Linked DNA regions of Saccharomyces cerevisiae S288C. Changing the gene in region 2 together with the main gene of any one other region gives a genetic interaction. Each region holds a gene or a part of one and is shown on either strand. Other genes may lie near its edges. The genes, in order: SIZ1, RAD26 and CUL3.

Evidence for each region.
Region 1: mutations in RAD26 (region 2) and SIZ1 impair growth when combined (synthetic growth defect), as found in Saccharomyces cerevisiae (one study listed by BioGRID).
Region 3: of RAD26 (region 2) and CUL3, changing one enhances a phenotype caused by changing the other (phenotypic enhancement), as found in Saccharomyces cerevisiae (one study listed by BioGRID).

What each region holds. Positions count from the first base shown.
Region 1 is NC_001136.10:1,287,406-1,291,162, reverse strand, and holds the start of SIZ1 (SUMO ligase SIZ1), read right to left. Parts: upstream 1,758-3,757; coding exon 1-1,757. Other genes in the region: ADE8 (phosphoribosylglycinamide formyltransferase), read left to right, coding at 2,304-2,948; TRAPPII-specific subunit TRS120, read left to right, coding at 3,225-3,757. UniProt on the Saccharomyces cerevisiae protein: Acts as an E3 ligase mediating SUMO/Smt3 attachment to septins and PCNA. May be involved in chromosome maintenance.
Region 2 is NC_001142.9:495,520-499,276, forward strand, and holds the start of RAD26 (DNA-dependent ATPase RAD26), read left to right. Parts: upstream 1-1,835; coding exon 1,836-3,757. Other genes in the region: RAV1 (Rav1p), read right to left, coding at 1-932; PET191 (Pet191p), read left to right, coding at 1,164-1,490. UniProt on the Saccharomyces cerevisiae protein: May be involved in the preferential repair of active genes.
Region 3 is NC_001139.9:498,630-502,386, forward strand, and holds CUL3 (cullin CUL3), read left to right. Parts: upstream 1-1,502; coding exon 1,503-3,737; downstream 3,738-3,757. Other genes in the region: SWC4 (Swc4p), read right to left, coding at 1-1,277. UniProt on the Saccharomyces cerevisiae protein: As part of the CRL3 E3 ubiquitin ligase complex; polyubiquitylates monoubiquitylated RNA polymerase II subunit RPO21 to trigger its proteolysis; plays a role in global genomic repair.

The DNA.
Region 1 (3,757 bases), on a different chromosome or scaffold from region 2:
ATAAGTCGATCATCATCATCGTCATCATTATCGTTCATTAAATTTTTAGTATGATTATGACTGGGAGTATTACTGCGACTACCATGATCATGTTTATTATTACTATTACTATCATTATTTTCGATACTATTATTATTATCATTATTATTATTATTGTTATTATTATTATTATTATTATTTTTATTATGACTATCATTATTTTTGATACTATTATTATTGTTATCATTACTATGCCTGTTGCTATCATCATGATTATTAGTAACATGAGGATTATTTCCATTTGGTTCGTCATCATCACTATCGAGATTTATGATAATCGGTTCACTTGGATGTGAAGAAGAACAATGATGATCCGATACTGAAGTACCTTTTTCTGGGCTTCTACTACCATCATTGCTGTCACTGTCGCTGTCATCATCGTCTTCCAATATGGCTGTCCACTTACCATCAGAAGTAAGTTCTACCTGTTCAACGTTTTTTTGACAGTTCTGTAAAATGTCATCAACAAATTCGGAAATTGCTAAATTTTCCAAAGCTATATCAATTTGACATACTGGGCATTGCCACGTAGGAATTTGTAGTTGGGAGTGTAGGAACCATAATGCATCAAAACATTGCAGATGCTTACAATTTATTGATTTTGAAGGGTATTTCATTCTTGTGTACGAAATTGGACATTGCAGACTCATGATAGTAGATGTGGTAGTCAAGCCCATTTCTTCATCCTCCCGAAGTGTTTTTTTCAAGTAAAGTAACGTGGCTTGTTTAATAATTTTTGGATGCTGTAATACTTTTTCCAGGAGTTGCTCCGGAGTGATCATTTCTACAATGTACCCAAATAGCTTGTATTCCTTCGTGGTGAAGGCATATATCAGCTCCACATTGTTTTGTTGAGTATAAGGTTTGAGATGAGGCGTTAAATCCGCCGGCTTAGCTGTGCCCGGCTTACTCTTGAAACCTCTTATATTATCTTTGATTTGAACATTATTGCACCTTAATTCATTTGGGAATGGAAATTGGATGGGTTCATTACCTCGGGATCCTAATGGATTAATCATCCCAGAAAATAAGTATAGCCTGTGTTTGCTATTCGGGTTACTTAATAGATTATAGTCTGCTTTGGACAATTTAAATTTCGCAGAGCACATACCTCTTCCGCCTGTGACTTCCACGTTCATCACTAATTCAGGGATTAGCCTTTGTATTTTGTAAAATGGAGACTCTTTAAAATGAATTGTCGGTACAGCAAAAGATGATGAAGAAGAAGAGGCATCTGGATTTGTAGGTGGTGGTGCACGAGATGTGGAAGATGTGGTAGACGTTTTCCGCCGTTGAGTGGGAGACTGCCTAATAACGGAAGGTGATTGCTGCTGCACCGTGGGAGGCCCCTCCATAGAACGTACTGTGATAGCACTCAATGGGGTACCCTTTCTTAAAGCGTTCCAAAGATCTTTATAAACAGGCAAAGGTTCATTCTTTCTGATCCGTTCTATCAGAAATTTAACGGCTTGAACTCTATAAGGATCAGACTTGCCTACTACTAAAGCGTTCTGCAAGAAATTCCTGATAAGGTCCTGTAGAACGGCCTTGCGACCGGAAACCGGGAAAGATACAGACCTGCAAATATCCTTCAATTCGGACACTTTCAGCAGTTCCATCAGAGTGATGGTTTCCTCCACCTCGTTTCTTAGTTCATTAGTCGGTTCCCTATCAGGCCCAGGCGTTTCATCTTCCCAGTAATCCTCTAAATTTATCATTGAAACAGAATGTATATGGAACACTCAACTGTTTGAGTTGGAGTCTTCTTTTCTTGTGAAATATGGATGAACTCCACTTCATTCTTTCATATTCATATTAAAGATGATACACTTTTCAACTTACTATCTGGTGCGGTGAATGGGTGTATACATTGACTACAGCTCAGGTGACATCTAGGGGCCGTTTAGTGTAAGAATATAAAGTACAATCCAAAAAGGAAAATTATACTTGTTTAAGAAAAGAGGAACCTTCTGCTCGCTCTAAAATGGTAGTTCTAGTGATAGTTTAAAAATGCATTTTCCTTCCGACTTCGAAGATAGATTTCAGCATAAAGACTAAAAGCGTCAGCAAGGATTCGAATGAGTGACTCGTTGCTAGTGACTCTGACCTGTTTTTTATTCCAGCAAGAGGAAAGTTATATAGAGTAGTTTATGAAGAGAAGACACTTCTAAAGTTGAATAACGCTCCTAGCCTCAAGGTTGATGATTTAACTTGCAGCAAGCGCAGGTGAGAGCCAACACACATCAATAATCTTTCCAAAAGCTATGGCCAGAATTGTCGTATTAATTTCGGGCTCAGGTTCCAACTTGCAAGCCTTGATCGATGCCCAAAAGCAGGGCCAATTAGGCGAGGATGCTCATATTGTCTCTGTCATATCTTCCAGCAAGAAGGCATACGGGTTAACTAGGGCAGCGGACAATAATATCCCCACAAAGGTTTGTTCGCTATACCCATATACAAAGGGTATTGCGAAGGAGGACAAAGCCGCAAGGGCCAAGGCAAGATCCCAGTTTGAGAACGACCTCGCAAAACTAGTGCTCGAGGAAAAGCCTGACGTTATCATCTGCGCGGGCTGGTTATTGATCCTTGGATCTACTTTCTTGAGCCAACTGCAATCTGTGCCGATATTAAATCTGCATCCAGCGCTACCAGGTTGTTTCGATGGTACCACACACGCAATTGAAATGGCATGGCGCAAATGTCAGGACGAGAACAAGCCTCTGACGGCCGGATGCATGGTGCACTATGTCATCGAGGAGGTCGACAAGGGTGAGCCATTGGTGGTAAAAAAGCTAGAAATCATACCTGGCGAAGAAACACTAGAGCAGTACGAGCAAAGGGTACACGATGCTGAGCACATCGCGATTGTAGAAGCTACATATAAGGTTTTACAGCAGCTTCACAAATAAGAATAGTTCCCATATTTATACTTTTATATTTGGCATTCTTCAAAGTGAGGCGCGAAACATCTCGCGTCGTAAATCATGATCATGGATTGTGACAAAACGATCTTAAAGGTTTCGAATAAAATGTGTGTAAATACGTATACTTATATATGAATGTGCATGTGTAAACGCTTAATCGTGTTATTGCAAAACTAAAATCAGGCCAGATTGTAGTTTAAACGGTTCTAGTATAACTGGTTTAAGGTGCGGCTCACAACCTGTTACAGGGAGACAAAAACCATGAATATTCTTAAGCATTTCCCAAGCTATGTTGGCCCATCTAAGATTAGGACCTTAGTGATACCAATTGGCCATTGGACGCGAAAAGAGTTTAATAATGCGGTACAGAAACTTTCTGAATTCAACGAAATTCATCTGTCTGATGTAACCCCCATTGACAGCCCTATCTTCACACCGCAAGGCTTTCCACATGGGAAGTTATTTTTCGACTTCTTGACCATAGATCATGACGATGCATTGGAGTTGTTTCTGTATGATTTTGAGCCATTTCGGAAAACATTTGTCATTATTGGGCTGGTAAACGATTACAGTGACCCCTTGACCAATTTGAATTTCATGAAGGAGAAGTATCCAACTTTGATTTCACCGAATTTGGTGTACGCTTCATCTACACCCACTAAAGAGCTTGAGCAAACCATAGATACGATGGAAAATGTATTCGCATCTTCTCCAGATATGCAGAAAAACATAGAAACGATTATGTGCGACATAGCAAGGAACTTTTTAACCGCATTGAACAGCTATTACTCTTC
Region 2 (3,757 bases):
TTTTTAGTCATTGGTTTTGGAGGATCTTGGGAAAGATTATTCAAAGCCAAAACTTCCATTTCCCCAGTCATTGAACCCAGAATAACAATGTCTGAGTCAGATATATCAAAGATTTCCGAGTCTTTCACACTGAGAGTTTGCCTAATGATCCAATTGTCTATTATCACGCAGAACTTCTGCGTGGGGGAAAGAGGCACTTCACCCCATATTTGCACAGTATGGTTTTTCTCCATTTCAAAACAAGACCATATTCTCAGAACTTTATCTTCACACAGCGTATAAAGAGCATGAGAGGCAGTGTTGTTTTTACTCACCTGGTCTGGCTCTTTTTTCCACCGCATTGCAGTTATAGGTTTCGGATGAGGCAACATAGTAAGGTTAAAGATGGCTTGTTCTCCGACTATTGAAACACGCTTCCATAGTTTAGCATTACAGTCGTACTTCCCAATACTGACTATCAGCTGCGAATCTTGTGATATAATCACATTATAAACAGGTTTAGGCTGTTTTTGGTTCCACTGCAAAATAGGTTGATACACACCAAAATTATCCTTAATTTTCCAAAAAGAAAGAAAATCAGATCCAATGGCTAACTCATTATCAGAAGACCATCTTAGGCAGTTTACTGGCGTGTCATCATGGAACAACTGGCAACATTGGGTCCACTTGGGATTCTGCATAATTTGATGAATGGGCTTGTAGATGAGCACCCTATTGTGGAAGGAAAGGGCAATGAATCCATTCTGGCTGTTAATATCGACCGCAGTACAGTCTGATTGTGTATATATGGTCTGTAACCTAGTGAATTTGTTGGTAAGTATGATTAAATTATTCCCTGAACAATATGCAAAGATGGTATGATTTTGCCATGTTGCTTGACAAGCTGTCTGAGGGGTAGCATTGGGGCGTCCTGGAAGAAAGTTCAATGACATGAGAACTACCTTTGCGTGTGCACGTTTGTTTACTTTCTCAATTGTTTGCGGTGTTCTTAGATCCCTTTAATTATTAAAAAAACTGAAGTGCTTGAAACAATAACATAACGAGGTTTCGCTATGCGGGCAGCTTTAAAGAAAGAGGGATAGTATATTAAAAGGCTGCCATAACAATTAATCGGAACAGAATAGACACAAATAAATTTGCAGTGCGTTTGTAGATATCAAAGAATGGTAGCTAGTTGTAAAGATCAGAAGAAGGCTGTCGCTATATGTTTGCAGAGATCGCCCTGTGTCATGATAGAGAGACATAACCCTCAAGAATGTCTTGACAATCCAGAGCTGAATAAGGATCTGCCCGAACTTTGTATTGCTCAGATGAAAGCATTTTTGGATTGTAAGCGAGGAATCGTCGACATGACTAAGCGGTTCACAGGTAACGCACCTCTGTCGACTGGCAAGTACGATCAACAGTACGAAAACTTGTGCAAAGGAAAGTTTGATCCGAGGGAGGAGATGGAAAAGCTAAAACTTCTGAACAGCCAGCAGAAGGACTGATTATTTATGAAAATTGGCCTGTAAATATATACATAAATAAATATATGCGTCAAGCTCTTTTATTCGGTTTGTCCAGTAATCCTCTTACAATATATATATATATATATACGCATGTAGCGTATTCAAGAACATTACATTTAAAAAATAGAGGGTAGAACAATAAAAATGCACTTAACAAGTTCCGTAAGTAGAAATTATAATCAGTCTAAGTACAAATTTATACCTTAGCTTCATTTCAGTTAAGGGCGATGCAATAAAAGTGGAAGAAAAAAAAAGAAGGGAAGAGGTTTGATAATATATATATATATATATATATAACATTGCTCAGAGAAACATACATCAGTGATGGAAGATAAAGAGCAGCAAGACAATGCGAAACTTGAAAACAATGAGTCACTAAAAGATCTGGGAGTTAACGTGCTTTCCCAAAGCAGTTTGGAGGAAAAAATAGCTAATGATGTAACTAACTTTAGCAACCTACAATCGCTGCAGCAAGAAGAGACTCGTCTAGAACGGAGTAAGACCGCTCTGCAACGTTATGTCAATAAGAAGAATCATCTCACAAGGAAGTTGAACAATACCACTAGGATATCTGTTAAGCAGAATCTCCGAGACCAGATCAAGAACTTACAATCAGACGATATTGAACGAGTTCTGAAGGACATAGACGATATCCAATCAAGGATTAAAGAGTTGAAAGAGCAGGTAGATCAAGGTGCTGAAAATAAAGGTTCCAAAGAGGGGCTGCAGAGACCCGGTGAAACTGAGAAGGAGTTTTTAATCAGGACTGGTAAGATCACTGCATTTGGACACAAGGCTGGTTTCAGCTTGGACACTGCAAACAGAGAGTATGCCAAGAATGACGAACAAAAAGATGAGGATTTTGAAATGGCAACAGAACAAATGGTAGAAAATTTAACGGATGAGGATGACAATCTCAGCGATCAAGACTATCAAATGAGTGGTAAAGAGAGTGAAGATGACGAAGAAGAAGAAAATGACGATAAAATTCTCAAAGAACTGGAAGACCTGCGGTTCAGAGGCCAACCTGGTGAGGCGAAGGATGATGGGGACGAGTTGTATTATCAAGAAAGGTTAAAAAAATGGGTGAAACAACGTTCTTGCGGTAGTCAAAGGTCATCGGACTTGCCAGAATGGCGAAGACCTCATCCGAATATTCCCGACGCAAAACTTAATAGCCAGTTCAAAATACCCGGTGAAATATACTCGCTGTTATTTAATTACCAAAAGACGTGCGTTCAGTGGCTCTATGAGCTTTACCAGCAGAACTGTGGCGGTATTATTGGTGACGAAATGGGTCTGGGAAAAACGATTCAAGTTATCGCATTTATCGCAGCGTTGCATCATTCAGGTCTATTAACAGGCCCTGTATTAATTGTCTGTCCTGCAACTGTGATGAAGCAATGGTGTAATGAGTTCCAGCATTGGTGGCCTCCATTGAGGACGGTCATATTGCACTCAATGGGTTCAGGAATGGCTTCTGACCAAAAATTTAAGATGGATGAAAACGATCTAGAGAACTTGATAATGAATTCAAAGCCAAGTGATTTTTCTTACGAGGATTGGAAGAACTCAACAAGGACAAAGAAGGCATTGGAATCAAGCTATCATTTAGATAAGTTGATAGATAAAGTCGTTACTGATGGGCACATTTTAATTACCACGTACGTTGGGTTAAGAATACATTCAGATAAGCTACTAAAAGTTAAATGGCAGTATGCTGTTTTAGATGAGGGACATAAGATTAGAAACCCAGATTCGGAGATTTCATTGACTTGCAAAAAACTGAAGACACATAATAGGATCATTCTTTCAGGAACACCGATACAGAATAATTTAACCGAGCTTTGGTCGCTTTTTGATTTCATTTTCCCTGGTAAATTAGGAACTCTACCTGTGTTTCAACAACAGTTTGTCATACCTATAAATATTGGTGGTTATGCAAACGCAACAAACATACAAGTTCAGACCGGCTACAAATGTGCTGTTGCATTGCGTGACTTGATTTCACCGTACCTGTTACGTCGTGTGAAAGCTGATGTTGCAAAAGATCTGCCACAAAAGAAAGAAATGGTTCTCTTTTGTAAGCTTACGAAATATCAAAGAAGCAAATATTTGGAGTTTCTGCATTCTTCAGATTTAAACCAAATACAAAACGGTAAGAGAAATGTTCTATTTGGTATCGACATTCTAAGGAAAATATGTAATCACCCCGATTTACTTGACAGAGATACAAAGAGACATAA
Region 3 (3,757 bases), on a different chromosome or scaffold from region 2:
GCGAGAATTTTGTTCTGCAGCGCAGGTTTGAAGGTCGATAATTTTGTAGATCTTAAGTATACACCCGGCGATAGCTTCTCACCATGCGTAATCACACCTAAAGCCTTCCTTTCATCTGAATTGAAATCTTTCAGCAATTGTTCTGCATATGCGCTTTCTGACTTTCTTTTGAGCGCCGTTTGCATTTCCTGTCTTTGTCTTTTGGTTTTCTTGGGGGAGAGATTTTCCTTGACTTCTGACTTTTTTACATTCAGTTGTTGAAGTTGCCTATGTTGGGCAAACTGCTGTTGCTGCTTCATCCAAGGATTTTCAGGGATGTTCAAATCGTGCTTCCGCTTTCTAGTTTTATCTGCTAGAAGCGCGTTATATAACTGAGACATTCCCTGAGAGGTAAGGTATTGTGTAATTGTCTGATCTGAATGTGGCGAGTCCAACAGTCGGAGTAATGATTCTCTTTCTGCAAGTGTTCTCTTGGCAGCCATTTCAAATTTTTTGGACTCTACTACGAGTGCCTCTTCTTCAGCAATTTCTGCTGCAGAACGAGAAAGAAGACGCTGTAAATACTTTTTTCTCTCTATCTCCTTTTCAGCTGAAAAATTCAAAGAAGATAAAAGCGGATTGCTAGGATCACTTGCTTTAAAATAATTCCTACAGGTGTAATAAAATTTTTCTTTGAGATCTTCAAGTGTTCTTGAATTATTATAACTGTATCTGTCAAAGATCAGGAACCAACGTAAATCGTATTTTTTGCAGAGATTGAACAGGTATTCTATTTCTTCAAAAGACCAGCTATTTTTACTTTCATCCTTCTTTTCATTAGTAAAGTTTTCGTTATGGTTTTTTTCACTTTCTACGCTTTTTTGAGTTCCTTCGTTTTCATTCATAAAAGCCTCGTACTCCTCCTTGGTGAATGATGGAATAGATAAATGCTGATTGAACTTAGAATATGGCGATTCTTTTGGTGTGTCTCCTATTAATTCTTTGGAACCCTTGACCCAATGACGCAGAGTCACAGAGTTATTAGCTTTGAACTCTACAAATGACCAAGGAGATGGCTTGGACGTCGAAAGCATTTTTTCTTTAAAGTTATTTCCAGACTTAATAACAACGGGGGGTTGGTTCTCTCCTAGCAGGTTAAATAGTTCTCTTTGCATGCCCGTCACTTGAGGCTTGGGCCGGTTGGCTGCCGAGGACGAAGGCACTGATACCTGGCCATTAGTTGGACTTCTGGATTTTTGCTTAATGTTTAGTACATCAAAGATGTCTGATGATGACATATTACCTGTGGTTTTTTTACTAAATTTTCGTATTATCGGAGAAATATGTTATGAATGCTTGTTGCTATTAAAATACAAAGTGGATTCTTGATTTATCACTAAATAGCTACCCGGAGTTGGCGCATCGCAACTTCATTAAATAAGTTCGAGTGTGCGTATTCTAATCTGATTCATATAAAGTATACTCTAAACGGGCTAACTCAAATCTGAAATTAGGGCTACTATATGATAACTAATAAGAAAATAAAGATAAGTGTCCCAGAAAAACTCGGTTTGTCAGAAGAATCTTTTGAGGAATCCTGGGAAACAGTTAAATATGCCATTGATCATATATACAGCGATGACATGGCCGACCTTTCCTTCGAACAAGTGTACAAGACCATTTATACTATCGTTTTAAATAAAAAGGGGCCAATACTTTATAACAGATTGAAAGATTATTTAATCCAAAAATTAGCGCTTTTGAGGGAAACGATAGTCAAGGACAATACTCATGATTATGAGTTTCTTGGAACTATGGCACGGTTATGGGAGGTGCAATGCCATTGTTTTAAAATAACGGGAGACTTAATGATGTATATGGACAAAGTTTATTGCAAACCAAATAGATGCATGGAGGTATACGACATGTGCCTCGATCTTTTCCGAATCGAAATATTGCAAAAATGCTCATCTTCTCTCATCTCAGCACTGATATCTGATATAGAAAGGATTCGTAATTTAGGATCTGTCGACTCCGAACATACTAGTTTGTGGAAAGTACTAATAGGAATGATGGAGACATTACATGACAATAGAGATAGTTTTTTCTTAACCGATTTTGAGCCGGTTTTGATTAGCGCGACAGAAGAATACTACAATAAAGCTATTGATATTGAATTATTAACGCCAATTGAGAGCCTGGAAAAGATTAGGAAGTTAAGGCAGTTTGAAAGTATGCTAGACTCCTCTTTTCTAAATGTGGATTCTCATAATAAGTTGAAGACTGTATTAGAAAATGTCCTTATATGGGGAAAGTTGAGTGATATTATTGAAGATCTAACGCACGAAGCAATGGTAATTTCAAATGGAAAGCTACTCCAAGAAATTTATGACTTGTCAAGCGAGGAAAAATATCGCGTTACTGTCATTGAATCTATTAAATCTTACATCAATAAAAATGCCATAAATATTCCTTTTAATGAAGGTAACCGCAAAAAAGGGCAGAATGCGATTACTTGGTCTTCGGAAATTGTAGAGCTATATCGCAGTCAACACTCGTTTTTGGAAAGTATTGATTTTGGTTCTGTTCGTCTTAATAATTTGACCGGGGATGTATCTAATGCAATACTTGGCGATGTTTTCTCAATGTATTTCTCTAAAGAAGGAGCATTACCATCTGAGTATCTTTCTACCTACGTGGACCATTGTATGAAACGAACCAAGGAAAAAGATGCTGAAATAGTGAAGATCAAGCAAGATTTGCTTGATAGTACCAAATTAATCGGACTCCTAACTGAGAAGGATATATTTGAAAAGATTTACAAAAAACAACTCTCCAGAAGATTACTGCAGCAGAGGTCTTTAGTGGAAATTGAAAAATGGATGGTGCAAATGATAAAGAAGGTTCTAGGAACTTTTTTTACCTCAAAATTGGAGATAATGCTGCGAGATATATCTTTATCCTCTGAAATGTATCAAGCATTCCAACACTCAACAATCAACAGCATAGAATATTTGAGTTTTGCACCACAAGTTTTGACGAGAACGAGCTGGCCCTTTCAGAGTACTAATCCAATTGATGAAGGTATTTCACTACCTCCTAGAATGTCACAAATTTTAGCTGGCTTTGAGGGCTATTACAGCTTAAAATACAAAGAAAGAGTGCTAAAGTGGGCTCATCATCTAAGTGTAATTGAAATTGGCTGCCAATTTAATAGCGGTTACTACGAAATAAGTTTTTCTGTTTACGCTGGAGTGATTTTCCTTCTATTTGAAGATTATGAAGAATTAACGTTGGGGGAAATATATGAACTAACTCATATTCCCATAGATGACGTTAAGTCTCTTGTAATGTCAATGTCGACAATACCCAGATGTAAGATTTTGAAAAAATCATCCAGTTCAGGAAATATGAAATTTTCAGTTAATTATTTCTTTTCTTCTCCAAACAGGAAAGTGAAAGTGCCGGTTATTGCATGCCCTCTACCATCTCAGAAATCAGATAATTTGGCAACCGCAAGTTCCGTGGACACTTATGATAATGAAATTGTTATGGAGCTTAGTGCTATTATTGTTCGTATCATGAAAACAGAAGGTAAGCTAAGCCATCAGCAATTACTTGAAAGAACTACGAAACGGACACAGTCTCGGCTCAGTCTTACACCGAGCATTTTGAAACGAAGCATTCAGCTTTTAATAGAGAAAGAATACATCCAGAGAAACGCAGATGACCCCTCTTATTACCATTACCTTTCCTAATTGCTTATAATGAAAATCAC